Linked DNA regions of Pelodiscus sinensis. The protein of the gene in region 2 purifies or fractionates together with the protein of the main gene of each other region. This does not show direct contact. Links are inferred from orthologs where the notes say so. Each region holds a gene or a part of one and is shown on either strand. Other genes may lie near its edges. The genes, in order: VPS45, SLC39A4, AGPAT4 and MGAT1.

Evidence for each region.
Region 1: the proteins of SLC39A4 (region 2) and VPS45 purify together in Homo sapiens (affinity purification with mass spectrometry; 3 studies listed by BioGRID and IntAct, counting the BioPlex papers as one, with this or other methods). This does not show direct contact. The link is inferred for Pelodiscus sinensis from reciprocal best matches to the Homo sapiens genes SLC39A4 and VPS45.
Region 3: the proteins of SLC39A4 (region 2) and AGPAT4 purify together in Homo sapiens (affinity purification with mass spectrometry; 3 studies listed by BioGRID and IntAct, with this or other methods). This does not show direct contact. The link is inferred for Pelodiscus sinensis from reciprocal best matches to the Homo sapiens genes SLC39A4 and AGPAT4.
Region 4: the proteins of SLC39A4 (region 2) and MGAT1 purify together in Homo sapiens (affinity purification with mass spectrometry; 3 studies listed by BioGRID and IntAct, with this or other methods). This does not show direct contact. The link is inferred for Pelodiscus sinensis from reciprocal best matches to the Homo sapiens genes SLC39A4 and MGAT1.

What each region holds. Positions count from the first base shown.
Region 1 is NC_134734.1:20,470,132-20,477,532, reverse strand, and holds the start of VPS45 (vacuolar protein sorting-associated protein 45), read right to left. Parts: upstream 3,002-7,401; 5' UTR 2,867-3,001; coding exon 2,774-2,866; intron 1,790-2,773; coding exon 1,655-1,789; intron 1-1,654. UniProt on the Homo sapiens protein: May play a role in vesicle-mediated protein trafficking from the Golgi stack through the trans-Golgi network.
Region 2 is NC_134712.1:897,252-905,261, forward strand, and holds the start of SLC39A4 (zinc transporter ZIP4), read right to left. Parts: upstream 3,006-8,010; 5' UTR 2,727-3,005; coding exon 2,523-2,726; intron 1-2,522. UniProt on the Homo sapiens protein: Selective transporter that mediates the uptake of Zn(2+). Plays an essential role for dietary zinc uptake from small intestine. The Zn(2+) uniporter activity is regulated by zinc availability.
Region 3 is NC_134713.1:114,253,337-114,260,479, forward strand, and holds the start of AGPAT4 (1-acyl-sn-glycerol-3-phosphate acyltransferase delta), read right to left. Parts: upstream 3,002-7,143; 5' UTR 2,846-3,001; intron 1-2,845. UniProt on the Homo sapiens protein: Converts 1-acyl-sn-glycerol-3-phosphate (lysophosphatidic acid or LPA) into 1,2-diacyl-sn-glycerol-3-phosphate (phosphatidic acid or PA) by incorporating an acyl moiety at the sn-2 position of the glycerol backbone.
Region 4 is NC_134742.1:11,051,775-11,059,324, forward strand, and holds the start of MGAT1 (alpha-1,3-mannosyl-glycoprotein 2-beta-N-acetylglucosaminyltransferase), read right to left. Parts: upstream 3,013-7,550; 5' UTR 2,881-3,012; intron 1-2,880. UniProt on the Homo sapiens protein: Initiates complex N-linked carbohydrate formation. Essential for the conversion of high-mannose to hybrid and complex N-glycans.

The DNA.
Region 1 (7,401 bases), on a different chromosome or scaffold from region 2:
GGCTAGGCCGGAAGGGACAGGGCCTAATCTGGAAGGGGAGGGGCTAGAATGCTTCTGGGCTTCTCCAGCCCCTTTGCCCCCCCTTCCCACTAGGCACCCATGCCCCTGGCAAGGTGGGAAAAGGCTTCACACGCTGTTCTAGCACCTTGGGGTTACAGAGAATAACTTGGAAACATGAATCTTAAAGGTTCTAAAACTAGATAGAAAATAACAGGCTTAAAATGTATTATTTTTTTAAATATCATGAGTTTTTGGAACCTGGCTCATGTTGTTTGTGGATTTGTAGTTAGCAATAGTACTCCAAAACCAACTGGAACTGTTTTTTCTTCTTTCAGCTTCGACAAAAGGCTGAGCATGTTCCCTAAAAAGTTACAGGGAATTGTTGATAGCTTTCAGTAACTAAATCATTTCATGGATGAAAACATTGTCACCTTTTGCAAAACTACCTGGAAATTTACCAGCCCAGCAATGTTCCCTATAATCTTTTTCATCCATGTGTGGATTTTTCCATCCACGTGAGGAATAAATTTTTTATGTTCACTAAAATATGTACAAATGTGCCCTGCTAGTAGAAACAAACAAAAAGCCTAGCTGTGGGGGCTCTACTAATCAGCTGAGCAACATTTGAATCTTTCCTGAGCGGCTTCACAAGCCCACTGCTTACAGGGAATACGACAGCCCAGGTACAAAATCCACTGGTCACACTTTATAATGGGGCCATGTCAGAAGGAGGAGAGTAGGGATGTAAAAAGTTAAATGTTAGGAAATGTTTAAGTGATTAACCAGTTAACTGACTAAGCAGGATCTGGGCTGGGGACAACTCCAGGCCAGCTGATGCAGCCCCCAGCTCACAGGGCTGCTGGGGCTGGCTGCCAGCTCTCAGACCCACACTGGGGCTGCTACAGGCTCTCAGCTCCCAACCCCACTGGAGCAGCCCCTATCTGCAGTGGACCTGGGCTCCCCACAGTCAGCGGCTGTTCCAACCCTGCAGGGTACCAAGGCTCCCCATGGACAGAGGCTGTTCCAACCCTGCAGGGTACCCAGGCTCCCCATGGACAGAGGCTGTTCCAACCCTGCAGGGTACCCAGGCTGCCCATGGACAGAGGCTGTTCCAACCCTGCAGGGTACCCAGGCTGCCCATGGACAGAGGCTGCTCTGGACAGCAGACTGGCATCTGCCTGTGGGGCACCCAGGCTCCAGCTGCCAGAACAGCCATATCCACAGCAGGCCCACTGCAGGGCTGAAGCAGCTCCCTGCCCATTGTAGGTGGGGAACTGTTCTAGCCCCCACCAATTATCAGTTAACCGAAACTAGTAAACCTTTCACATCCCTTGGGGAGACAAGGGAAGTGTTTGAGGGGTGTCTTTGTATGTGTTTGTTATTCACTCCAGGTGAGTGGATAAGGTAAAGTTTGTACAGCTATCAAACTAAGGCATTGATCCTGAAAAACATAAACTTGTGCTTAATTTTATACACATTAGTCGTCCCAGTGAATTCGTTAGGACTGCTCATCAGAAGCATAATGCCAAATGTGGGGAAAAGTATTTGCAGGATCATAGCCTGAGATATCAGCATTAGCTGCTCTGTTAGTACATAGGCTCAGGGCAGAGCAAATGCCAATGCTGACAGCAGCTGCCTTTAAGAAGTAGCTCACCTTTGTTGGTCGCAAAAAACAGATTGCTTTCAAGTGTTTCATGGTCTCTCTGTTCAAAGAATCAATCCGCTCAAAGAGGTAAACTTCCTTCTGAAGGATTTCCGACTGCGTATACACCATGCTCACAATGCTGGTCTGCAGGGAGAAAGAAAGAGAAGACAAGTTATCTCTACTTGCTGGGGCAGACTCGTGAGACAAGGGAGTGTTGACTAATGGTTAGTACACAGAACTGGGATTCATGATTCCTAGGTTCAGTTCCTCTTGGCTTTGCCACTGGGTTGCTGTGTGACCCCGGATAAATCATTTCACCTTTTGTGCCTCAATTCCCTAAACAGGTCATTGCAGTTTTATGCATTTAGGTAGATGGGCAGCAGCCCTCAGTGCAGTGGGCTAACACTTCAAAGCATGACTTCACCTGCATTCATGGAGTGGGTGTGGCAGATTGATTGGCATTTGAGAACAGCCATCACACACAATCCTCCTCACCACATTCTCCAACTGCTCCATGTCCCATTAAGGAGGCAACACAGAACTGCTTGCAGCCTGCTCTCTAGCCCAGCACTGGCAGGATACTTCCCCAAGAGCAAACTGCTTAGGAAGGGACACCAAGGTTGCAAATTATTAGAGCCAAGATGAGGAAAAGAGGGAGATCTAGGAAGCAGTGTTCCGTTTAAGCTGAGTGCTTGGACAGCCACCCAGGAGAGATTCAGTTGCCTCCCAGCTGATTAGCAGAGCACCCACAGCCAGCAGCACATGTTTCTATTAGTGGTGCACATCCACACATGCCTCAGTGCACATAAAATTTATTCCCCATACAGATGAAAAAAATTGGAACACTGTTAGGAAGCCATGATCATTTCTCTTGCTCCCTGGGCAGAGCGAGCACTAGGAATAGCACAGAAATATTAATCTTCCTAAAACAGCTACAACTCTATTACTTTTCTACCAGCACAAAATAAAGACTGCAGCCTGTGGTCAGGGTGGAAGCCACTGTTACCCCAATAGCTCAGGAAAGACCAAAATACAGAGGCAGAGGCGATTCCATAGAATCTGGAAGGGGTCTTGAGAGGCAGGACCAAACACCATGGTAAATACAGAATCCTTAGGGGCCTAGCTCACCGTTTCTTTATCCATCAAGAGGACCTTCATCCCGGGCCCACTGTCTTCAATCATCTTGGACACATATTGCTTCACTGCAAAGACCACATTCATTGTGGCAAGAGATTGCGCTCCCCACCGACCCGTCTGCAAGGGGTAATATTATGCTAGGCTGCACTGAGCAACCCAGCCCTCCTTTCTCCTGGGCAGCTCGCGGCTTCCTGCCTCTCTGTTTCCTCCTGTTGCAGCCCTGGGAGTTGTAGTTCACAAGGAGGTGGACTGTCGCGCCAAGCAGCGCCCATCCCGTTTCGTGGGAAGGCGTTGCAACTACAAGTCCCAGCATCCACAGCATCAATGAGTTTTTTCCCCCTTGCAGCTGGAGGGGGGCGTGTTTCAATGCACTTCACGCTATGGAGCTGTCAAGTTTTCTCTTGTGGGAGGGGGGGGGCACCACATTGGCGGGGTAACTTTGGAGTAGCGTTTAAATGAGCACCTTTTGCAGTGAAGCATTTTGTTGCATGATTCCCTGGACTGCAGAAAATCTCTTTCAATGATCCTATCACCGCTTGACAGCTGGCTTCATTATGGTAGTTTTTGTCCCCTTTTGCCTTGAATCTTCAGAATCTAAACTTTATTTTTAGAAAATGTTCCTAGGTCTTTGGTTGCAAAGAAAACCTTCCAAACCGACACCGCAGAGGCTGTTCTAAACGTTGCAACAAGAAAAACAATTGCACCGAATCCCAATTGACAATTCTCCCACAAGCCTTAAGTTTGTTTAGTTTTGCCCTAAACTGCTCTAGTTTGAGACTTGAGATCCCGCACAGTTTTTGATGCTCGAGCTGCAAGAAAACAGCGTGGCATGCCTAATACCTTGAGGGGAGAAAGACACATGCTATGCTGGCTGTTGTGTGCTTTATGCACAGTTGCAGGCTTAAGTAAAGCTGATGGATTGGCTAGACACCCTTATTTCAGGTCAAATGGAAGAACAATTAAATGCCCTTTTGGGTAATGATTACTGGAAATGGTAGGAAGCCAGATCCCATTGATAATGGGCTGCATAGGAGGGAAGATCAGAAGCTACACTCTATGCATTTCCTTGGAAAAGATGCAAACACAGACTAGGGTTGCGGCTGTGTGCATGTGTGAAAGGCAAAAAGCAAGAGAGGCTGTGGTCAGCATGGCCCTGAGACAAAGCCAAGAGACAGAGGGTTCTTTTGGACACAGTACTTGAGGGAAAAGCAGACCAGCATTTCCGAGAAAGGAAACTGCCTGCTATTGTTTGTTTTTATTGTGTTTAGAGAAACAGGGTGTTGTGTCCGTTTTTTGTAAATAAACAGGATGACACCAAAGAAATATTTGACTCGTAGTTCTCTTCTTAACAGAAACAACCTGCCAAAGTCCTGAATATTGACGAGGTGTTTTTCGGGTCAAAACAGGTTAATTAAAGAGCTTTGACTGCTGTGGAGGAACAACCTTGAACTTCTAGTGACTCACACTGGAAAGAGAGAGGAAGGATTTGCAGGATCAAGTTCTATAAGCCAAATTTTGGCTGGAAAGCTCAAAACGGGCTCTTGGGAGAATAACTGAGGGTAGCAGTTGGCTGTATGGAATAGTGTTCCATCATCTCTCAGATGGAAGGCAGCAGTCAACTGCAACATGCTGACAATAACTGGGTGAATTTCTGCCAAGAATAAATGGGCAATTTCCTCTGCTAAAGAAACCACAAGATCTTAGAGACAAAAGACTTCTCCTCCACAAGCCCCCCCCCACTGTATACTCAATTTATGCCCCCCCACACACACACATGGGAAAGATGGAGGGGAGGGTGTCAATCAGTCATATTTTGCCACAGAAAAAATTCCCTGTGAAGTACTGGAATTAAAAGTGCCCATTTGCAATGGCTGTGTCAGTCTGAAGGTGACATGGCTGAGCTATTTGGTTTTCTTGATGGTGACTGCAGCATCTCCTGCACAGCTTAGAACTTCAGCACAATTGTTCCTCTGCTGAATATTTTGTTTGGCTTTGTGTAGGAAACTCTGGTTATTGCCTTAAAGCAGCGGTGGGAAACCTCAAGCCCTGGGGCCAGATGCGGCCCCTGGCTTGCCCAGATCCGCCCTCCCCCCCCCAGCATTGGGGAGCCTGCACTGGTGCTCCAGCCCCCCTGCTGCCCCACAGGGCTGGTGCACCCAGAATCTACTAGGCTGGGCCCCCCTCAGCTCTGGTGGGCAAGGGGAATGTGGGGAGGGTCTTTCTCCTCAGCTGGGCGCCATGTCAGTAAGGTGGATTTTTGTTTGTCTGTTTTTGTTTTTTGCCCTGCCCTATTCAGCAACCCAATTGAGCCACCTCTCAGTAAGGGTGCTGCCTTCCCTGCTCCTGCCCTCGGTGTATTTTCTCCCATAGCTCTTTCCAGGCCACCAGTTGCTCATGTGACCCCCCAGTATCCTCATGCTTGCTCCTGTGTTCCCAGTGTCACGCCCTCTCCAAGCTGCGCCTGTGCCCCCAGTGCCAATCTTGCCATGTGTTCTTATCCTCCCCTTAGTACCTAATCCTGCCACCCATTGCTGTCCCTGCCAGCTGTTCCTATCCTCCCCTCCAGTGCCAATCCCTCCACCAAATGTTGCTTCTGCCCCACAGGCCACACCTGCCTTGCCCCAATGCCGATCCCCCCCCCCCACGCTGCTCCTGCCTGCCCCCCAATACCACGCCCCTTCCACCTCGGTGCCAAGGCCCCGTCTGCACCCCCCCTTTCCAAGTTCCACCTGTCCCTGTGCCAATATCCCGTGGCTCCTGCCACCCGATACCAGTCCTCTGCCAATCCCCCCCCCAATATCTTCTCTGCCCCCTCACAGCCAAGCCACCTCAGGCTGCTCATGCCTGTCATGCCAATACCTGCACTCCTCCTGCCCCCCCGTGCCAATACCCCTCCTGCTGCTGCCCCCTGTGCCAGTAACCCTACTGCTCCTGCCCCCCCGTGCCAATACCCCTCCTGCTCCTGCCCCCCCGTGCCAATACCCCTCCTGCCCCCCCGTGCCAATACCCCTCCTGCCCCCTGTGCCAGTAACCCTACTGCTCCTGCCCCCCCGTGCCAATACCCCTCCTGCTCCTGCCCCCTATGCCAATACCCCTCCTGCTCCTGCCCCCCGTGCCAATACCCCTCCTGCTGCTGCCCCCTGTGCCAATACCCCTCCTGCTCCTGCCCCCCGTGCCAATACCCCTCCTGCTGCTGCCCCCTGTGCCAATACCCCTCCTGCTCCTGCCCCCCCGTGCCAATACCCCTCCTGCTGCTGCCCCCTGTGCCAGTAACCCTCCTGCTCCTGCCCCCCGTGCCCGTAACCCTACTGCTCCTGCCCCCTGTGCCAATACCCCTCCTGCTCCTGCCCCCTGTGCCAATACCCCTCCTGCTGCTGCCCCCCGTGCCAGTAACCCTCCTGCTCCTGCCCCCTGTGCCAGTAACCCTCCTGCTCCTGCCCCCTGTGCCAATACCCCTCCTGCTCCTGCCCCCTGTGCCAGTAACCCTCCTGCTCCTGCCCCCTGTGCCAATACCCCTCCTGCTCCTGCCCCCTGTGCCAGTAACCCTCCTGCTCCTGCCCCCCTGTGCCAATACCCCTCCTGCTCCTGCCCCCCGTGCCAATACCCCTCCTGCTCCTGCCCCCCCCCCCCCCGTGCCAAATCTCAGGCTGTTCCTGCCCCTCTTGCTAAACTCCAACCCGCTCCCCCCCCCCCCGAACTCTCGCTTCCTCCGGCCGCCTCGCCCGCCCCCCCCCCAGCAGCTCCAGTCCGGGCCGTTGGAACCGGCGTCTCGCGCGCGGAGCGGCCGTTGGAGACCGCGAGCCGGCAGCTGGGCCGGGTGGGCGCGGGGCGCGGGGGGCGGGGGGCGGGACTGTGGCTGGGGGTGAATATGGGGAGTTTCACTGTGGCCCCCAAATCCTTAGGGTGCGTGTGGGGAGCCCCCAAATCCTTAGGGTGCGTGTGGGGAGCCCCCAAATCCTTAGGGTGCGTGTGGGGAGCCCCCAAGTCCCTGGGGTACATGGGGAGCCCCCAAGTCTCTGTGGTGCGTGTGTGGAGCCCCCAAGTCCTTGGGGTACATGGGGAGCCCCCAAATCCCTAGGGTGCGTGTGGGGAGCCCCCAAGTCTCTGTGGTGCGTGTGGGGAGCCCCCAAGTCCCTGGGGTACATGGGAAGCCCCCAAGTCTCTGTGGTGCGTGTGGGGAGCCCCCAAGTCCCTGGGGTACATGGGAAGCCCCCAAGTCTCTGTGGTGCGTGTGGGGAGCCCCCAAGTCTCTGGGGTACATGGGAAGCCCCCAAATCCCTAGGGTGCGTGTGGGGAGCCCCCAAGTCTCTGGGGTACATGGGGAGCTGTGAGGAATCCCCAAAATCTCGGAGGTGGGTGTATGGGGAGCCCCCAAATTCCAGGAGGATTGGGGGAAGCTGTGGGAAGCCCCCAGTTTTGTGGGGTGCATGGTGACTGGGGATTTCACTCTGGCCCCCCAAATTCCTGGTGAATGGGAGAGCTGTCAGGGCCTCCCAAATTCAGGGAGTAAATGGAGGGATGTGAGGCCCTCCTCAAATTCCTGGGGTAAGTGGGGCAGTTGTGGGGGGTGGGGTGGTTGCCATCGCTCCCTAGGAGATAAGTAGAGTGTGGGTTGTAAG
Region 2 (8,010 bases):
CTCACCCCACCGGTCCCAGGGGAGCCCTGCCCTAGGGGAGCCGTTGGCCTGTATCCTCGTCGGCAGTGCTTATCCGGCGAGCAAGGCTGGAGGTACCGACTGTGCCAGGCGCGGTGCAAAGCCTGGGTAACACACCCACCCCACACAATACGCACATACTCTACACAACACACGCACGCACACACTGCTCCCCCCCCACGGCTCCCCACACTGCTCACACACACACACACACACACACACAGCTCCCCACACTGCTCACACACACACACACACACACACACAGCTCCCCACACTGCTCACACACACACACACTGCTCACACACACACACACACACACACAGCTCCCCACACTGCTCACACACACACACTGCTCCCCCCCCCACACGGCTACCCACACTGCTCACACACACTTATACACTGCTCCCCGTACTGCTCGCACACACACACACACACACACACACACTGCTCCCCCCCACTAACACACACACACTGTTCCCTGTACTGCTCGCACACACAAACATATACTCACTGCTCCCCGCATGGCACCCACCCACACTCGCACTGCTCCCTGCATGCTACATATACACATACGGCTCCCCACACTTCCTTCACACATACTACACACACACATACACCCCTCGCTCCCCACACTGCTCACACACACATGCTACACACACACACACACACCCCGCTCCCCGCACTGCTCACACACGCATGCTACACACGCACACACACCCCGCTCCCCACACTGCTCACACACGCATGATACACACGCACACACACCCCGCTCCCTGCACTGCTCACACACGCATGATACACATGCACACACGCCCCGCTCCCCGCACTGCTCACACACGCATGCTACACACGCACACACACCCCGCTCCCCGCACTGCTCACACACGCATGATACACACGCACATACACCCCGCTCCCCACACTGCTCACACACGCATGATACACACGTACACACCCCGCTCCTCGCACTGCTCACACACGCATGATACACACGTACACACCCCGCTCCTCGCACTGCTCACACACGCATGATACACACGCACACACCCCGCTCCCTGCACTGCTCACACACGCATGATACACGCGCACACACCCCGCTCCTCGCACTGCTCACACACGCATGATACACATGCGCACACACCCCGCTCCTCGCACTGCTCACACACGCATGATACACGCGCACACACCCCGCTCCTCGCACTGCTCACACACGCATGATACACACGTACACACCCCGCTCCTCGCACTGCTCACACACGCATGATACACACGCACACACCCCGCTCCCTGCACTGCTCACACACGCATGATACACGCGCACACACCCCGCTCCTCGCACTGCTCACACACGCATGATACACACGCGCACACACCCCGCTCCTCGCACTGCTCACACACGCATGATACACACGCGCACACACCCCGCTCCTCGCACTGCTCACACACGCATGATACACACGCACACACACCCCGCTCCCCGCACTGCTCACACACGCATGATACACACGCGCACACACCCCGCTCCTCGCACTGCTCACACACGCATGATACACACGCACACACACCCCACTCTCCGCACTGCTCACACACGCATGATACACACGCACACACACCCCGCTCCTTGCACTGCTCACACACGCATGATACACACGCACACACACCCCGCTCCCCGCACTGCTCACACACGCATGATACACACGCACACACACCCCGCTCCTCGCACTGCTCACACACGCATGATACACACGCACACACACCCCGCTCCTTGCACTGCTCACACACGCATGATACACACGCACACACACCCCGCTCCCCGCACTGCTCACACACGCATGATACACACGCGCACACACCCCGCTCCTCGCACTGCTCACACACGCATGATACACACGCGCACACACCCCGCTCCTTGCACTGCACACATACATATGCTACACACACAACCAGTGCACAACCAGGGCCAGCTCTGCTCTGACAGCCCCTTGGCGCTTGCCCAGCCCCGGTGCTGGTCGCTGGCCCGTCTGGGCTGATTCTGCCCACGAGGGGCACGAGCGGCCTGCTCCTGCCGACGCCAGCGCCCAGGGCTGGAGCCTTTCGGAGACAGAGGAACCTGCCCGGGACACGGGGCCGAGGGGCCGGGTCCGCTGGAGACGTCCCGTGTTTGCAGGGGTTCAGTGATGGCAAAGGTGAGGAGCGGGAGCCGGCCTGGATCCTGACACCTCCCACGCCACAGGGGCTGGCCCTGCCCGCACGTGCTAGGCGAGGCCTGACCACGCCAGGCCGCCCCCGCCCCGGGGGGGACACTCCTCCGGCCGGAGCCCCCTCCCGTCACCTCCCCCCATTGCGTCCAGCCCCCCAGACTCCCCCGGACGGGGCGCGCCTCCCGCCTGGCAGCCTGGCCCTCCTGCTGCCGCGGCCCCTCCCGCCCGGCTGGAGTTTGACCCCGCTTTGCTCCCGAGCCGCAGAGGAAGGAGGGGAGCGGGCTGCGCCCGGCGGCGCGTTACCTTTCCACACGGCACTGCGGGGCACTGCACACGGGCCGCCGCGATACTTAAGAGGGAGTCCAGGGCAGCGTGGGGCAGAGCGCCTTCGCCCGACGCCAGCAGGGCCCCGACGTCCCGCAGCGCCTGCTCCTCGGCAGGCGCCCCTTGGCCCGGGCGCACGGCCCCCCCCAGGCAGAGCAGGGCCAGGGCCAGCAGCAGAGCCATGGCTGCGTCCAGGCGGGCCGCGCCGGCTTGGGGAGACGTGGCCGCGCTGGCCAGGCTCCCCGGGGCCAGAGAGCCCGAGCTGTGGGGAGCAGCAGCTCTAAGCCAGCAGGTATTTGCTGCAGCCGCCTCTGATTGGCTCCGGGTGAGATTGCCTCGGGTTAACCATTCCTCCGAACCCGGCCAGCTCTGCAGATCCTGCTGCGATAGGGCAGGGCAAGGTGGCTCCCAGGCAGCCGGCCCAGCCCCAGTCCCGCCAGGGCGTGGCAGGGCTCTGCTCTGCCAGCACCGTCAGCACAGCAGCCCCCGCCAGGAGGAAATGAGCCGGCAGGACCTGCTGGGAGGCTGTTGCCCAACACGGTCCCAGCCCCGGCTCCGGAGCCCGGACGGCTCGTCCGCCCCTCCAGGGGAAGGGAAACCTGGCCTGGGGCAGACGCAGGGGCCACCGGCCCCGTTTCCCTGGCGAGGGAGAGGGTCTGACACCAGCTGGGGGCGTTCTGCCGGGGCTCTTCGCTCTGCCCCCGCCACGGGCCCTGGCCCCGTCTCCGGGGAAGTGACTCATGCAGGGTCATGCTCTGAATCAGCGCAGCGCTGGGGCTGGGAACTCGGATCCCTGATGCCAGAGCCCCCCTGCTCTAACCCCTAGGCCTCACTACCCTCCCAGGCCCAGGAACCCCTGACTCATCCTTCCTGTGGCTCTAACCTGTAGGCCTGGCTCCCCTCCCCAAGCTGGGACAGAACCCTGGCAGCTCTAACCACTAGACCCTACAGCAGATTCTTGACTCTCCCGCTGGGAGGCGCTCCCATGCATCCCCATCAGTGGAACTAGCCGGCAGGCCCAGGGTCCCTGGAAGGAGGGGCCAGGTAGCCATATGGACTGAGTAGGCCCTGGGTTTAACCGAGTCCCACTTGCCTAGCACACCCTGCACTCAGCGGCGCTGCTGGCTAGTGCCCTGGGTGCAGGGCAGCGGGTGGGACCAGCCATTGTGCAGACACAGCCAGGGCAACGATGCAGGACAGGGAATTGCTGCTGAGCCTCGGGGAGCATCCCTGGGGCCGCAGGGGAGGCACAGACCCCGTCTCCCTGCCTGACGCACACGGGCTGCTCCGGGCTGTTGTAGGGAGCTGCTGGCCCAGGAAGACGATTGCACGTTACAGCTCGGCCGTGTGGTGCGCAGCGGGAGCCTCGGGACGGAAGCCCTGGGGAGTAGCACTAAGCACGGGGACAGGAGAAGTGCCCCACCCCGTGGGTCCAGCTGCACCCTCCGAGTCGCCTGCTGGAGGGCGGAGGAGTGGCTCTGCCTGGCCCACACGGGGCAGGCCTGGCAGACAGCGGGGCGGCACCACAGCCCTCCTGGAGGCCCAAAGTGAAACACGCTCCGGCGGCTGGGCTGGGCCAGCAGCAGGAGGGGACGCATCTTGCCAGGAGGTCCCAAAGCCAGAATTGTTACAGCCCAGGATGCGAGGAACGGGGACTTGGCCATCGGCTGTTACAGACGCCTGCACATGCCAATGGGCATAAGCCCAGCACCGGAGCTGTCCCAGCGAAGCCTCATGTAACCCTGCCTGCCACGATTGCGGAGCACGAGCACCAGGCGCAGGGCAGCACCGGCCACCTGGGCACCCAGGCACCGCCCCACACTGGCCGTGAGTCCAGGGCACAAGTGCCAGGAATAGGGCAGCGCCGGGCACGAGGGCACCGCCCCACACTGGCCGTGAGTCCAGAGAGTGCCAGGCACCAGGGCACCGCCTCACACTGGCCGTGAGTCCAGAGCACAAGTGCCAGACGCCCAGCATCACAACTCAGCCGAGCACCGGCATGCAGAGGAAGGAGGAAATTATGCAGGCGCTGATGAAAGCGACCAGCCACCTGTAGTGAGGCAGGGGCCAGAGCAGGAGACTTGTGCTTTGAGCGGTGCGGGGTGACAGCCACGCGCAGGGCGGGACCGAGGCCGCCAGACACGCCAGCGGCCATGGCTGTGGCGAGGGCCGAGTGCTTTGTCGGAATGGCCACTCGAGAGCCCTGCACCGTTCCTTCCCTCTGGGCCCCTGGCCCTGAGCTGAATAGCCTGACTCAGTCTTCTTTCGTCTTGAGCCACGTTCTGCCCACCCCGGCTGCAGGGGCGGGGGCCAGACGCCCGCTCCCGAGGCCACGTGACAGTGGACGCCCACGGCCTGGTGCGCCACTGGCCCAGCGAGCCGCCGCCGCCCTGTGGGCCCATCAGGGAAAGGCCTGGGGGCAGGAGCAGCCAGGCGTGACGCCCCAAACGGAGCCACCGGGCCTGGCTGTGGGTTTTGGAGGGGAGCGAATCCACCAGCCCAGCTCTAGTGGGATGCTCCCCACTCTGCGTCCGCAAGAGAGAGCTTAGCTGGTGCTTAACCTGTGCCCCAGCCCCCGCCACACCGGTCTGGCCACCTCGCCAGCAAACTGCTCTGGGTTCTGCCTGGCAGGCGCCGCTCTGAACCCGGGGCTGCAGAGACGTCTCCTCCCCGTCCAGTCCCTCCCGGGCACTCCCAAGAGCCAGGACATGCTCTTCGCTCCTGCGCGGCACTGAGACGGCGCAGCACAACCTGGGCATGCCAAGATGCTAGGGGCATGGGGGAGGGATAGCTCAGTGGTTTGAACATTGGCCTGCTAAACCCAGGGTTGTGAGTTCAATCCTTGAGGAGGCCATTTGGGACAAAAATTTGTCAGGGATGGTACTTGGTCCTGCTGTGAAGGCAGGGGACTGCACTCAATGACCATTCAAGGTCACTCTCCAGTTCTAGGAGATAGGCAACCTCCATTAATCCTTTTAAAACCAAAACAGCACACTTCCTGCTCCCACAACTTCCTCCTCACAGGATGCGGTCTTTGCATAAGCAGCTTTCTCACAAGCATCCAGCATCCACAGGGGCAGTTCTGGGGCCAGCTCTGTTCACTGTCTTCATCTGCGATTCCAATATTGGCCCAGAGAAAGTTTGCGGATGATCCCAAGCTGCGAGGGGTGGCAGGTGCTTTGGAGGAGAGGGTCAGAATTCAACATGGTCTGGACAAACCGGAGAAATGGCCAGAGGGAAACAGGATGAAGTTTAATAAGGACAAATGCAAAGTGCTCCACTTAGGAAGGAACAATCTGTGTCACACACACAGAACGGGAAGTGACTGTCTAGGAAGGAGTCCTGCAGAAAGGGATCTAGGGGTTAGAGTGGACCACAAGCTGAATATGAGTCAACAGTGTGATGCTGTGGCAAAAAAAGCAAACCTGATTCCGGGATGCAGTCACCGGAGTGCTGTGAGCAAGACACAAGACGTCATTCTTCCGCTCTGCTCTGCGTCTCAGCGGGAGTATTAGTCCAGTTGTGGGCACCACATTTCAGGAAAGATGTGGAAAAACTGGAGAAGGTTCAGAGAAGAGCAACAAGAATGATGGAAGGTCCAGAGAACATGAGCTATGAGGGAAGGCTGAAAGAATTGGGCTTGTTTAGTTTGGAAAGGAGAAGACTGAGAAGGGACATGAGAGCGGTTTTCAAGTATCTAAAAGGAGGAGGAAGAAAAATTGTTCTCCGTGGCCTCTGAGGATAGAACAAGAAGCAATGGGCTTAAACCCAGCAAGGGAGGTTTAGGTTGGACACTAGGGAAAACTTCCTGCCTGTCAGGGTGGTGAAACACTGGGATAACTTGCCTGAGGAGGTTGTGGAATCTCCATCCCTGGAGATATTTAAGAGCAGGTCAGACAGACACCTGTCGGGATGATCAGACAGTGCTGGGTCCTGCCATGAGAGCACCATCCACAGCCCCCTTTAGGCTCTAAGCTGCTTCTCTGCAGCCCATGCCGATGCTTCTCCGGCGCTCCCTGGCAGAGCTCCGACACTGTCCAGGTGGTAGCTGGCTCCCTACACAGGGCCCGTCTGCCCAGCGCCAGCGAGCTGGGGAAGGGGATTGGGAGCCTGCAGCCACTCATGCTGCGCTGTCTGCCAGCCTCAGGAGCAAGGCTGAGGGATGTCAAAGAGGCTGTGGAGCCTGAGTAGGGCCGGACACCGAAGCCCAAGGACCCAGGAGAGGGGCAGCGGAAGCGTCTTTCCAAAGGAAAGGGTGATCAACGGCTCCATGCCAGGCTGGCGGTCGGTTTCTAGCGGAGCCCCAAGGTTCGGTTCTAGGGCCGGTTTGGTTCAATATCTTTATGAATGACCTGGCTGAGGGGATGGGTGGCACCCTCAGCAAGTTTGCAGATGACACTAAGCTGGGGGGAGAGGTAGATACACTGGAGGGCAGGGAAGGGCCCAGAGTGACCTCGACAGATTAGAGGATTGGGCCACAAGAAATCTGAGTAGGTTCAACAAGGACAAGTGCAGAGTCCTGCCCTTGGGATGGAAGAATCCCAAACATTGGTACAGGCTGGGGACCGACTGGCTGAGCAGAAATTTTGCAGAAAAGGACCTGGGGGTTCCAGTGGATGAGAAGCTGAATAGGAGTCAACAGGGGCCCTTGTAGCCAAGAAGGCTAATGGCGTATTAGGTGCATTAGGAGGAGCATTGCCAGCAGATCCAGAGATGTCATTATTCCCCTTTATTCGGCTCTGGGGAGGCCACATCTGGAGTATTGTGTCCAGTTCTGGGCCCCCCACTACAGGAAGGATGTGGACGCATTGGAGAGGGTCCAGCGGAAGCAACCAAAATACTGAGGGGACTGGAGCACATGACCTATGAGGAGAGGCTGAGGGAGTTGGGTTTGTTCAGTCTGCATCAGAGAAGAGTGAGGGGGGATTTGAGAGCAGCCGGCAGCTGCCTGCAGGGGGGTTCCAGAGAGGCTGGCGAGAGGCTGTTCTCAGTGGGGGCAGAACGGGGAGCAACGGGCTCAGGTTGCAGTGGGGAAGGTCTAGGTTGGAGATTAAGACAAACTCTTTCCCTAGGCGGGTGGTGAAGCGCTGGGCTGGGTTCCCTGGGGAGCGGGTGGAGTCTCCATCCCTAGGGTTTAAAGTCCCGGCTTGACCAAGCCCTGGCTGGGCTGATGGTGTTGGGCTGGTCCTGCCTTGGGCAGGGGGCTACACTCGATGCCTCCTGAGGGCTCTGCCCCCCCTGGGATTCTATGGGTCTGTGATTCTAAATGTCCCCGGGGCTGCTGACATCCTGCTTGGGTGACTCAGCCGGCACTAGAGCCAGGGGAAGGTTCCCCCTGCAGCTGGGCTGTTCCTCTTCTCAGCCAGGGGCTGCAGCTGAAACGGAGTCACCAGCCTCGTTCTTCCCTGCTGCTGCCCGGGCCCTGCTCTTTCTCTCTCCTGGGCTGGGCGTGTTGCCCCCTGGGGCA
Region 3 (7,143 bases), on a different chromosome or scaffold from region 2:
CCATGGCTCCCCTGCCCCCTGCACACTTGTGAGTGGCAGCTGTGACACTCACCAGATGATCCCTCGCCAATCTCCGAGGAGACCCGTGACACATGGTGGCTGCTGTGCCGGGCTGGTGGGCTCTGGCTGCTGTCCTCCTCCTCTTCCTCCTCCTCCTCTGCATCTGTTGGCCGGACCACTGGGGTGGCCAGGGCTGAGTCCACCATGGCCTCCAGGGTCTCGGCCCCCTTGTAGGCCAGGATACTGTGCAGGTGGTGGTAGTGGGAGCAAGCAAGTGGCTCTGCCGCCCCCACTCTCGCTGGCCTGCACGTAGCTGAGCCGCAGGTCTTTCACCTTGGCCTGGACCTGTTCCAGGGTCTGGGCCGGGTGTCCTTGTGCGGCTAATGCCTGGGCCATGCAGGCAAATATGTCTGTGTTTCTCCTCCTGGATTTGGGATTATGGAGGGCCTCCTCCTGGACCTCGGCGTTGCCCCAGCATGGAGCCCGCCGCTTGGTTCCCCTGTGGGCCTGCTGGGTGCTCTGGGGTGGCTCCTGGGTGGGGCCTGAGGGACCTGGCTGTTGTTCAGCAGCAGCCATCGCTCCCTTTGGCAGCTCCAAGGGCTGCACGTGGCACACGGCTCCGCTGCACATCCACACTGCCCTCTTGTGCAAGAGTGCCTGCGCAAGAGAGCTTACACCTGTTAGAAAACAGCGTAACTCGTGCGCATTGCGTTCTCTCTTAGCACACCATACTGTACATTTTCTTGCACAAGAGCAGGCAGGCAGTGTAGACGCTCTGCAGATTCTTGCGCAAGAATGGCCAAAGTTGCGCAATAACCCGCCAGTGTAGACATAGCCCACAAGTCTCTCAACACAAACCAGAATAACCCAAACATGAAGCCTAGCTTATCTGTGGACCCAGTGTGAAGGTATGCAAACCATTAAATGCACAGCTTACAAGTTCTTTACCCTATTTTTATTCAGAATATTAGCAGGATGAATTGGATTCACAGTCTGTTACCCTGACATTTTTAGGTTCTCAGCATTTTTGGCTTTAAAAAATAAAACACATAAAATTACCAGCTACTAGTTTTTATTAAAAAGCTGGATAATAATTTTAGCTAAGCTGTATATTCACAAAAGCAATGCCACCCACCAGGCAAATGCAGTATTTTTTTCTCTGGCCAGATAACTGACTATTTTACAATGTGATATCCCCTATGACCCAGTGGTCAAATTCCAACCTGTTCCCATACATAGAGGGTTACTAAAGATTGTGTGCCACTTTTTGCAGAGCACTAAACCCGTAAGTTTCACTTTTTGTGTATATTTAATTGCATTTTTGAAATTGTAATAACAATGTAAGTGTACACTTACACTAAATTTTAAAGAAATTAGAAAAAAACATAGCATGATTTTGAACCTTAGTAAAACACTTTTCATTTCAAAGTCAGGAATACACAGAGAACTCATATGAACCCAAACCCAAGTTTTCCTCTCATTTACAATGGACTAAGCACATGAAAGTCAATGGGCTTTCTCTGGTATCAAAGAAAAGAGATTTGGGGTCTTGGTCTGTTCAATACATTTAAAAAAAATATTTGTTTATTTATTTTGCAACTCGTGTTCATTTTGGGGTGACTGATTATATTCCCTTGATATAACTGCCGCATTAGTTGTACCACAGTTATCAGAGGTGCAAATATCATCTTATTAAGCATGTACAGGTCTTGGAAATGCAAGACAAATAAATATGGGATGAGACAAAAACAAATGCACAGAAGAGAATGTTCTGGTCAGAATGAAACAAATCCTCATTTACTGTTTTGTACACACATGGGTAAACGCTTACTTGTTGAATCAAATCCTCTTTTGGATCATTTCACAGCTGAACAATGCTCTATAGTTTAAAGATTTGGACTAACAAATGCAAAGTTGTGCAGGCTAAGTGGATCTACTTATATTATTGTTGACAGGTTGAACATATTCATTTAGAAAGAAAACCAGAGCTTTCAAACAAACAAAAAAGCCAACCAAAACTTTAAAACAAAAATTCAGTACTAAGCACACAGTCTCTTCTTCACGTTGCTCTCAGGTTGTAGAGGTTATGGAATTCTTCTAAGTACAATGTGAAATGAATACAATGCATTTATTTCAATACATACCTATGTTTCATTCAAACCACTAATTATTTAGACACGATACAGCCCTCTTGATGTAGAAAGCATCTTCATGAAAGCACAGTAAATAGATGGTCACAAATGTCTGTTTCCAAGGCAACTCTATCCCTCCCCTACCCTCCCCCCTCCTCTAACCTCCTCTATTGTGATAGGGGAAAACCAAAATGAAAGTGGAGAGGAAACAAATGTGTGCTGCATCCTAGTAACTATCACTCCAAATCATGCAACAAATGCACAACTGTGAAAGAAAGAGAGATATTTATATTTAGGACACAGTCCATGGTATTTGTAGTTTCCATGGAAACACTGTGAAGAAAAGAAAAAGCATGTTGCATGACACAAAGGAAGCCAACATGCAACAGGAAAATTCTCGTTGACCCCATTCTTTTCCAAGTAAAATGATTAAATGTACTAACCCCGCCCCTCCTAAAACTAAGGTACTACACAAATGAAGAAAAAGGAAAAATAATCAGAGCAGTCCTTTCCTATAAGCCTGCAAACCTGATGCTCGCCTCTACCACACGCTGCTCACATAAACACACACCTCATTGTAGCCTGCTTCTTTCTGTCCTTTGATTCTCTGCACTCAATGTCTTTTTTTTTTTTAAATCAAGCCAAGTAAAGAAGAATACTTCTGAAAATGTAAAGTTCTTTGGAGGTAGCATGAATAATATCATATCACATACCTTGTGCCTGCCAGACCTTGACATATGTGCTTAGAAATCAGAGACAGAAAGGGAAAGAGAGACTCTAGTTGCCACTAGTTTGCATAAGCTGCCTGTAAGTCAGCCAACACTGGAAAGAAAGCCAGACTCCACCCTGGGGTGGTACCTTAAAAAAAAGTGGCTCTGAGCTGACGTTTCTCCCTACCACATGTCACTTCCTTTTAAAGCTACAATTCAGCAGTATGGACGAGATGGCTACTTACTGGTGTACTATCTATGACTCACCCCCTTCCCCACCAAGTAGTAGAAGGAAGTGGTTTACGTTTGAAAATACTGTCACAGAAACCTCCCGCTGAAATGCAAACAATAGCCTATTGTATATCATTTTTATTCTAGCTCTCTTGATCCTGTTGCTTCCATTTACAGAGAAAGCTTCATCTTTCTTCCTGTGCTAGCAGTGGTTTTAGTGTCATGCCCTAAATACCTTGGCTAAATTAGATCATTATTAATTGAAAAGGAATATGATCAATGTGCATTATGCAAAGCAATAACAGCATCTTTTCCTTCAAGTTACTAAGGAGCACAGGAGTTGCAACAATTGAGGCAGAAAAACAAATATACAGGTGGCTAAGACTTTTTTTAATATGATATTTTAAGTATAAGCATAGCTGATCTGATACCATTTTACTTTTTTAGCACACTGGGCATTTTTTTAAAGAGAACAATTGCTTCTAGTCATACTGTACTTGTTGCATCCTCACATGCTGATTAGAGGCTTTGTGTTAGAGCTAGAACATAGGAATTGAGCGCTTAATCCAATAAGAATTCTGGTGGCATAAATGTTTGGTGCCATGAAGAACCCTAAAGGAGCTAATGTTTTATAATGAGTGAATCTGAGACAGACTGACCAAATGGCCATATGATCAATATAAACATCTTATAGGACACACATGATGTCCAACAGAGATATCGGGGAGGAAACCCCCAGAATGCCTATTAGTTAAAAAATGGGGGAGACTAAACTAATCTGGGGATAACAAAAATATTCAGATGGCAGGTTTCCAAATACTGAATATTCTGACACACAATATTCACCATCTGTGGAACCAAAACATTTACTGAGAGTCTTTGACTGTTGAGTGGAAAGCAGATTTTATGAATGAACACAATGAGAAATACCAAGAGCACAGCAAAATGGTAACATGCAAAAGCAAAGCACGATTAACCATCACTGCAGAGTTCCAAACACCATGAGCTCAAACTGTAAAACACATAATACAGTCTTTAATTACAGGATCACAGCTAGAAAATTTACCTCACTCACCTGAAAATTATCTTTCAGGTAGGAGAATAAGTCTCTAAACTCCCTATGGATGGATTTTTCAGTCTCCCATACCGCAGGAAGTAGAGACAAACATTTTTGATTGTCTAGGGCTGACTCTCCAAACAACACCTCCCACTGAAGAGCCATGCTGGAGAATTGATTCCATTAACTGTCATATATGAATAAAACCTTGCATTAAAAATAACAGCACTGCCCAAGAGCAACAAGTAGTAACCTGCCTTCAGTAGATTAAGTATACGAACATTTTCCCATCAACTCTCCCTAAAGAAAAAAAATCCCGCATTACTATCGAAAATCAACCTCCCAATAGAAGAAAATGAAAAGCACAAGATGGGATGAATTTATGGACCCATCCTCCTACCAGAACATAAATATTCAGAGGAGATCATTTACTCATTCTTACGGTGGAGGATGGGTCTATAAATTCAGTAGCAATAGGATTTTTGTACCAGTACCCACCCTTACTTCCAGTAACTAATTGTTGGGTGGACTACAAGTGAGCTACATCATGCAGAACCCTCCTTCATCTTACTGAGGTTTATCATTCTTACACAATTTAGGGAACATATGCAGAGATGGCCAAGCTGCAGCCCTGCAAATTTGTTCACATGGACTATTGGATCTGTTAGCCCATGAAGACTGCCAGTGACTTCATGGACTGGCCTTTAATCTGGGTTGGAGACACTTTCCACTTGGTTTTATATGACTAGAAATTTTCCATCTAATAGATCCTGCCGCGGAGGGCCTGGAACCTTTGAGTCCACTAATCTTGTGATGTATTAGACATTATCCATAAGAAGACTCCAACTCTTGGCTCTTTTCACTTTTTGGGGGGATGTCAGAGAGCAGAGATGCAGCATAAGCAAGTGCTGCTGTGGCAAAAAAAAAAGAAAAAAGAAAAAAGAAAAAGAAGCAGCAGCAGCAAATACCGAAGCTCTGAGGCATTTCCGTAGATCCTGCAGAGGGCTGATTCCACCCTTTTGTCAAAGATATCTTTTGACAGCAAGGACAGTGTCCTTAACATGGGCTGATGAGGCTGCATCCATTTGAGGAAAAGCAGTGTGACTGATGGATGTTACTGAATTTTTTGGCTCATTTGATCGGATGCTTGGCCTTCATTGGATTTTCTCATTTCACCTTTGCAGCCTTAAGCAGGACAGCTGGGATGGGAACATAGAGGTGATTTTTACAGACTTTTGGAAACTATTCTCATGTGTTGCCTGTCCATTTGACTTCCCCTTCATTCACACTGCATTCTTTTTGACTGAATGCTTAGGGAGATAGCAAGAAAGGAACTGTTCTTCTCAAAATATACGTGGGAAAACAGTTCCGAGAACAAGAATTCTTGGTGAACATCTTGGGTTTCCTCTACTTTGGATTTTGAAAGAATACTCCCCTGTTCTAAGGAGAAGTGTCTAGACCAGGGGTGGGCAAAAGGGCCTCTGCAGGTCGATCCTGCCCACGGAGGCACTGCTGCTTCCCTGCCCCCAGGGCAGTCAAGGCCAGGGGGCAGGGGGAAGCACATGGAGTTTCCTCTGCCCTGCCCCTGTCCTGCAAGGAGCATGTGGCACTTAAAAGCACCATGTGCTCCTGGCAGGGCGGGAGGAGATTTCATGTGCACCCCTCCCATCCAAGCCCTGATTTTCATGGGTGCAGAAGGGGGAGCACGAAAAGTCTCCTCCCATTGCCAGAGGCACGGGCGCCTAGGGGAAACCTCGGAGGCGGAGACTTCACTCACTCCCCCACCACCAGACCAATCATGGTCTGTGGGTGGGGAAGCAGGCAAGTGTCCTGGCCCTGCCCCTTCGGGTGTGACCCAGGGCCATTTCAAAAATTTCTGAAATGGCTCCCGGTAAAAAATTATTGTCCATCCTGGTCTAGACATAAAGGATTTCTTAGCTTTATGTCTGCATTAGTGACACTAACTCCACAAAGGAAGACTAGATGGACAGAAGGCTGACAATTTGAAGCCATGAGAGTCCAAGGCAAAACACTCGTGCCTATGTTGGCTACCCTTATGTATTCCCTTGTGTCTGGTCACCTCATATGGAGAGGAGAAAGAGGTGGTGGTGATGGAGAAAACAGGTCATCGGATGAGTTGTTTTTCCTACACCTGCTTGCAGATCTAGCGCTACATTTTTAGTCCTTTTCCCTGCCTCACCTGACATCCAGACAAGAGGAGAGCAAAGGAGATAAGAAATAACCTGTATGCCTGCATTTATCATGTGTCCTGGTTTTTTTTTCTTCCTTTGGGAGGACTGTAAGATAGCTGCTGAGGTGAAAGTGCCCAGAGTCATTTTAAAAAGGCAGCCTGGGGAATGTGATTCTAGCTCAAAAATAGCCACTGTGACCCTGCTATGACAAAAGAGGGAGCATTAGCGGGATGCTGATTTCTTTTGGGACCCCTAAGGAATGAAGGAGGCGCTCTGACTGTAGCATGCACACTGGCAGGTAAGCCCCCCATGGCAGTGCTTTGTCAGGAAGAGGGAAAGTGATGGGAGTTTGGGGAGTTTAAAGTGTGTTGATTCTGCTGACGGGGGCTCCTGGGGTTTCCACAGTTTTGCCAAAGACAGGGCCCAGGCTGCAGACTGAGCCCCATTATATTGGTCGGTCCCATTTTTCAGCAGCTTGACTTTCTTGGCCTTTCTTTTATTCACAGCCACCTGCTGAAGGAGGCTGGCAGCCTGCTTTCTAATCACAGCAGCACCACACAAGGAAAGCAAAAGGAACACTTTTCCACCTTTGATACAGTCGGCCAAAGGTGCTGAGCCGAGTACAGACAGAGTCAGATTGAGGGGTAGGCAATATAGGAATGTGCAAATCCAATTGGTGGGGACCCCTAACTACATTCCAGCTGGTTTGATTCAGGAATGAGTGCTAGACTGGATCCACATCACTGTGGAGGAGGAACAGCACTAGCTGACCCGCTACCATACATCTATACTGCTTCCTTCTTGTGCAAAAGCCTATGCAA
Region 4 (7,550 bases), on a different chromosome or scaffold from region 2:
GCTCCTTCCCCCCCCCCCCCCGCCTGGAGATGGGGGGGCAGCTCCTTCCCCACCTGGAGATAAGGGGGGCAGCTCCTTCCCCCTCCCCCCCGCCTGGAGATGGGGGGGCAGCTCCTTCCCCCTCCCCCCCGCCTGGAGATGGGGGGGCAGCTCCTTCCCCACCTGGAGATAAGGGGGGCAGCTCCTTCCCTCCCTCCCCCCCCACCTGGAGATATGGGGGGGCAGCTCCTTCCCCACCTGGAGATAAGGGGGGCAGCTCCTTCCCCCTCCCCCCCGCCTGGAGATGGGGGGGCAGCTCCTTCCCCACCTGGAGATAAGGGGGGCAGCTCCTTCCCCCTCCCCCCCGCCTGGAGATGGGGGGGCAGCTCCTTCCCCCTCCCCCCCGCCTGGAGATGGGGGGGCAGCTCCTTCCCCACCTGGAGATAAGGGGGGCAGCTCCTTCCCTCCCTCCCCCCCCACCTGGAGATATGGGGGGGCAGCTCCTTCCCCACCTGGAGATAAGGGGGGCAGCTCCTTCCCCCTCCCCCCCGCCTGGAGATGGGGGGGCAGCTCCTTCCCCACCTGGAGATAAGGGGGGCAGCTCCTTCCCCCTCCCCCCCGCCTGGAGATGGGGGGGCAGCTCCTTCCCCACCTGGAGATAAGGGGGGCAGCTCCTTCCCTCCCTCCCCCCCGCCTGGAGATATGGGGGGGCAGCTCCTTCTCCCTCCCCCCGCCTGGAGATATGGGGGGGCAGCTCCTTCCCCCTCCCCCCCCCCGCCTGGAGATATGGGGGGGGCAGCTCCTTCCCCCTCCCCCCCCGCCTGGAGATATGGGGGGCAGCTCCTTCCTCCTCCCCCCGCCTGGAGATATGGGGGGGCAGCTCCTTTCCCCTCCCCCCCCGCCTGGAGATATGGGGGGGCAGCTCCTTCCCCCTCCCCCCCCGCCTGGAGATATGGGGGGGCAGCTCCTTCCCCCTCCCCCCCCGCCTGGAGATATGGGGGGGCAGCTCCTTCCCCCTCCCCTCCCGCCTGGAGATATGGGGGGGCAGCTCCTTCCCCCTCCCCCCCCGCCTGGAGATATGGGGGGGCAGCTCCTTCCCCCTCCCCCCCCCGCCTGGAGATATGGGGGGGCAGCTCCTTCCCCCTCCCCTCCCGCCTGGAGATATGGGGGGGCAGCTCCTTCCCCCTCCCCTCCCCGCCTGGAGATATGGGGGGGCAGCTCCTTCCCCCTCCCCTCCCCGCCTGGAGATATGGGGGGGCAGCTCCTTCCCCCTCCCCTCCCCGCCTGGAGATATGGGGGGGCAGCTCCTTCCCCCTCCCCCCCCGCCTGGAGGTATGGGGGGCAGTTCCTTCCCCCTCCCCCCCGCCTGGAGATATGGGGGGGCAGCTCCTTCCCCCTCCCCCCCCCGGAGATATGGGGGGGCAGCTCCTTCCCCCTCCCCCCCGCCTGGAGATATGGGGGGGCAGCTCCTTCCCCCTCCCCCCCCGCCTGGAGATATGGGGGGGCAGCTCCTTCCCTCTCCCCCCCCGCCTGGAGATATGGGGGGGCAGCTCCTTCCCCCTCCCCCCCGCCTGGAGATATGGGGGGGTAGCTCCTTCCCCCTCCCCCCCGCCTGGAGATATGGGGGGGCAGCTCCTTCCCCCTCCCCCCCCCCGCCTGGAGATATGGGGGGGCAGCTCCTTCCCCCTCCCCTCCTGCCTGGAGATATGGGGGGGTAGCTCCTTCCCCCTCTCCCCCCCGCCTGGAGATATGGGGGGCAGCTCCTTCCCCCTCCCCCCCCGCCTGGAGATATGGGGGGGCAGCTCCTTCCCCCTCCCCCCCCGCCTGGAGATATGGGGGGGCAGCTCCTTCCCCCTCCCCCCCCGCCTGGAGATATGGGGGGGCAGCTCCTTCCCCCTCCCCTCCCGCCTGGAGATATGGGGGGGCAGCTCCTTCCCCCTCCCCCCCCGCCTGGAGATATGGGGGGCAGCTCCTTCCCCCTCCCCCCCCGCCTGGAGATATGGGGGGGCAGCTCCTTCCCCCTCCCCCCCCCGCCTGGAGATATGGGGGGGCAGCTCCTTCCCTCTCCCCCCCCGCCTGGAGATATGGGGGGGCAGCTCCTTCCCCCTCCCCCCCGCCTGGAGATATGGGGGGGCAGCTCCTTCCCCCTCCCCTCCCGCCTGGAGATATGGGGGGGCAGCTCCTTCCCCCTCCCCTCCCGCCTGGAGATATGGGGGGGCAGCTCCTTCCCCCTCCCCTCCCGCCTGGAGATATGGGGGGGCAGCTCCTTCCCCCTCCCCTCCCGCCTGGAGATATGGGGGGGCAGCTCCTTCCCCCTCCCCCCCCGCCTGGAGATATGGGGGGGCAGCTCCTTCCCCCTCCCCTCCCCGCCTGGAGATATGGGGGGGCAGCTCCTTCCCCCTCCCCTCCCCGCCTGGAGATATGGGGGGGCAGCTCCTTCCCCCTCCCCTCCCCGCCTGGAGATATGGGGGGGCAGCTCCTTCCCCCTCCCCTCCCGCCTGGAGATATGGGGGGGCAGCTCCTTCCCCCTCCCCCCCCGCCTGGAGATATGGGGGGGCAGCTCCTTCCCCCTCCCCTCCCCGCCTGGAGATATGGGGGGGCAGCTCCTTCCCCCTCCCCTCCCGCCTGGAGATATGGGGGGGCAGCTCCTTCCCCCTCCCCCCCCGCCTGGAGATATGGGGGGGCAGCTCCTTCCCCCTCCCCTCCCCGCCTGGAGATATGGGGGGGCAGCTCCTTCCCCCTCCCCTCCCGCCTGGAGATATGGGGGGGCAGCTCCTTCCCCCTCCCCCCCCGCCTGGAGATATGGGGGGGCAGCTCCTTCCCCCTCCCCCCCCGCCTGGAGATATGGGGGGGAGGGGTCGCGAGGCGGCTCCTGCCCCTCCCCCCGCTTTCCCCACTGACCCAGAAGCCGCCTCAGCCACAGCAGCATCAGCCCCCAGGTTTTCCAGCCACTTCCGCCTGCCAGCGCCGGAAGCGAACCCATGGCAACCGCTCAGCCCGCCCCGCGTCGCTCCCTCCCCGCCCCCCCCCACGTCCGGCACTGGCCACGCCCCCTTGCGTGTCCCTTCCCCCCCTTAGGGCCGGGAGCCACGCCCCCTTTTCGAACCTTCCCCGCGCCACGCCCCCAGGGCGGGGCGGAGGGGGGGGGTCCTCCTCCTCCTCCTCCTCCTCCCGCCGCCGCCCGTTGAGAATTCTAGCCACGCCCACACTCGGAACTCCTCCCCCCTCCTCCCCAGGGCTCGAGGCCCGGCTCCCCCGCGGAGCAAACCATTCGGGTGGAATGGGGACAGTCTTAAATGGACTAATCCCGCCCGCCCACCGGATGAGGCATCACGCGGGCCACATGCGGCCCGCGGGCCGTGGGTTTGTGGCCCGCGGGCCGGTTTGGGGGCGGGGAGGCGGGGGGGCTTAACACACAGGTGCAGTGTAGACATACCCTTACAGGCTAGCATATATATGGCGATCCCTCTTAAGACTTTGTATCAATATCAATTTCACTATAGGCTCACAGCCCCACACAAATATTCCCAGCTGTAAAAATCAAAATTTTCAGATAGGGAAACTAAGAAAAATGCTGCTTGAAAATGCATTTGAATTCAGCATGAGGCTATTTCTATAGTTGTATATTTTGACTCCTGATGTTGATTATGTGCTTTAATATTTATGAAATTTTAATTTTTAAAAATCTCAGCCCCTGGGAACTCGCTAAATAATTATTGTGTGACCGTTGTCTGTCAGTAAGAGAGGTGCTCAGTTTTGACTTGATGATTCCCATGGAAGAGAATGAACTTTCACAGACATATGTAGACCCAAAGCAAGTTAGCACTTTTTTGGCACATTTCAATAATGCCGGGTACGTGTCTTCCTATACATAGGTCATCCAAAATGTTTCAGTGTCCTTCTTCTTTATACCTAGCTTTTAGAATACTATTGATTTGCCGTTCTATCACCTCTTCTTCAAATGTGGCCCTCTCGACACCAAAGCTCACTGCTGAAAGTGAGTGCGCCTTTACCTCAACTGAAAATGGATTTTCAGTAACTTCAAGAACCGTCTTCAGGGATCTAGATAATGAGAAGAAAATTTGGTTTTCAGCCCTGAGATGTACACTGTAAAAAAATCAGGCCAAAAAGATGCATATTCACTCAGCTGTGTCACTTGCAAGTTGAAGATGGGAAAGTGAGTTAAGTCTTTCTCACGAAACTGATCTGCAAAAAGGGCCAGTTTTGTTTCAAATTCAGAAACATCGCACATCAGAGAAGGCAGGTTTTTTTCTTTGCCTTAAGGTTTAAGATTGAGTGCATTTAAGTGGTGTGTCATATCAGTGAAAAAATGAGTGCTTCTGTAGCACCTCAAGGTGCGTCTACACAGCATCCGCAACTCGAAATAAGATACGCAAATTGCATATCTTAATTCGATTCTAGTTTGAAATTTGGCACATCTACACAGCACCAAATTTCAAAATAACACATAATTTCGAAACAAAAGACAGGACTATGTAGCACTTTAAAGACTAACAAGATGGTTTATTAGATGATGAGCTTTCGTGGGCCAGACCCACTTCCTCAGATCAAATAGTGGAAGAAAATAGTCACAACCATAGATACCAAAGGATACAATTTTTAAAAAATTGAACACATATGAAAAGGACAAATCATTTGTCCTTTTCATATGTGTTCAATTTTTTTAACGTGGACCCAATGAAGTACCTGGAGGCAGGCTGCGTTGGTAGGGATGGGAGTAATGCTGAGCCTGGCTCAGATGGCAGGATCTCCTAGATGCCCAGAGACCGACGTTGCCTCTAATCTTTTCCAGCCATGTGCAGAATACGTTTTTATGTGCACCGAGGCATGTGCCAATGTGCACCCCAAGCAGGAACACAAACCGAGCTGTGGGCGCTCTGCCAATCAGTGGGGCGGAATCTCTCTGGAGTGGGCCTCCCAAGTGCCCAGCTTATGGGGAACGCTGCCAGAGACCACCGGGGAAGGAACATCAGACATCTCAGGGATGGGGAGGAGAGAGATGGGTAGAGGGGGCGGGATGGAAAAAGATTGTGGGCAGGCCGATGGATGCCGGAGGTGGACAGAGCAAGGAGGGCTGGAGAGAGGAGGGGATGGATGAGAACGAAAGAGAGAGAGAAGCGAATTGTCAAGGCAGAGAGATGGATGGATAAAGAGCAATACGGGATGGCTCGAAGAGGCCAGGGATGGGTCGCAGGATGGAGAGGGAGAGCGGTAGATGGACAGGAAGACCCGGAGGGAAAGAAAGAGGGACGAGAAAACAGCGAGTGGCAGAGAGAGACCAGGGTGCCGGATAGAGGCACAGTGGATGGAAGGAGCTAGGATCCCCAGCCCCAGTGCCTGCTCCCCGACCTACCCCAGCCCCGGGGTCTGGGCACAGGAGAACAGTACCACTTTGGGCTGCCCCAGCTCTGTAGCACCGCTGAGAAAGCCGGCCCCACATCCCTGGGAATGCAGGAAGCTCTTTCTTGTGCGGTTCACCCTAGCTGTCCCTGATGGCATAGGGCTGTGGGCAGGGGGAGGGAGGGGAGAGAGAGCAGTCAGGGCCCTTATGGATGTCGGAGTTGGAAGCGGGGAGAGGCTGGGACTCACTGAAGCCTCCCCAAGGGGCAGGGACTCAGCTGGTGAGGCTTGCGGTGCCCCCAGGGATCCCTCCGTAGCAAATTGGTTTTTTTCCCCATCTAGGGTGAGGGAGAGTCATCTGGGGTGGAGTGACCCCAGCCTCTTAGTACGGCCACGGTCCCCCACTGTACCCCATCTCCCGCCCCCCGCCCCACTCCAGGGCTCTTCTCCTGTCCCTCAGCACCATCGCTGGCGTGGTGGCCCCAGCCCGAGCCATACGGCCCATGGAGCAGGGGTGGCCCCTTCCCATGGGGGCGAGTCGAGCTGGGACCGTTCTCAGCGTGAGTCAGGGCTGAGGGCGCTGGCGTTAGTGCACGGCAGCGATGCCTAGAAGTTAGAGCTCAGCCTTCCCCCCCCCCCCCCCCCACACACACACACGGACTCCTGAGTTCCTTTCTTCACTCCAGGGTGGGTTGCAGGACTAGCTAGCCAGTGAAGTTGGGCAGGGAGGTGTGGGTATAACGAACCAAGGATCCGTCGGGCAGAGGGCAGGACTTCGGCCCCGACGGGTTATTTCTGGGCTATGCATCTCACCTCCCTCCTTCTCCTCTCGGCCCACAGCAACTGAGCCCACGGCTCTCCGCAGCTTCATCTCCATTGGCCCCACATCAGCTCCATGCGGAGAGACCCAATCCCTGCCTGCAACAGAGGAAGCCACGGCGCTGCCACTTAGTGCCGCACCCCTGCCCACTCCCCAAGTCAGGACCCAACTGGGGGGTGCCGTCGCCTCCGGGTTCTTCATTAGGTGCCGGGAGGCAGCGCACCGGGCGCTGTTAGCACCTCGGCTCCCGCTCGCGGCTGAGGGATGCGTCCACAGAGGACTCGGGGTCTTATTAAAGACGCTCGCCGTGCACAACCCTGACCCACGAGTTTTCCGCGGGGCCGGGCCGCGAGCATTCATTTTTTTCCTGTGCCAGCTGGAGAAGCGACTCGAAGGGTGTCAAGAGGGATCCTGGCTCAGGAAGCATTACGCATGCTGGGGTGGAGCACGACGCAAAGACAACCCACAAGACCATGCCGGTCCGCGGGCTGGATTCCTCCAGGGGCCACCTAGCCCAGGGGTTTTCAAAATCATGCGTCTGGTGGGAGCTGCCTTAGAAACCCCACAGCTCACCTGATCCCCCTTCCACAAGGAGACCCAGCACTGGGCGGTGGAATGCTGGGTGCTGGGATCAGATGAGCCGTGGGGTTGCTAAGACAGCTCCCTGCCTGGCCTGGCTCCACAGATGCATGATTTTGAGGGCCATCTGGTAATTTTGGGGCGCACGGCTTGCGATTTTCAAACATTCCATTTTTTGAGGAAGCCCTAACCACTGGCCTGCTGAAAATCAAGCGCCTTTCAGGGGAGAAGGGGTGTCTCATTCTTGGCATCCAAAATCATCCATCCCTTTCCCAAAAACCTTAGCCATCATCACATGCATTTTGAGGGCCAATCTGCTGCCCGCCGAAAGCAACAGACTTCTTTCCATGAACTTCCAAGCAGCCTTGTAGCTAAAGAGGTTCAGACCCAATGTCAGGAGAGGCACCACGGGGCTGAGTCCCAGACAAATGGATGATGCATGGTCCAATAACTGGAGTTTCTAACTCTTCAGAGAAGCAGAGACAAGAGAAAGTGGAAGGGACAGAGTGTCTTCCTCTCTAGGTTGGGAATGTGCCATTTTGCCAACCTCAAGCAACGCACACAAATCAGACATTAGAAATGGTAACACACGTAAACCTATAGGGGAAGATTTTTGCCTGCCTGGTCTTTCAATCGTGGATTTACAAGTAGCCATTCTTCTACAAAGGAATTTCACTCGCCAATTACCGAGAGTACGCAATTGGTATTCATCTACAAATTTGACACTGTTATCCGGGGCTTGAACAAAAGACTTGAATTAAAAAGCCAGTCTCCTCTGCCTTTAACAACTGCATTTTTACATCAAAATCTA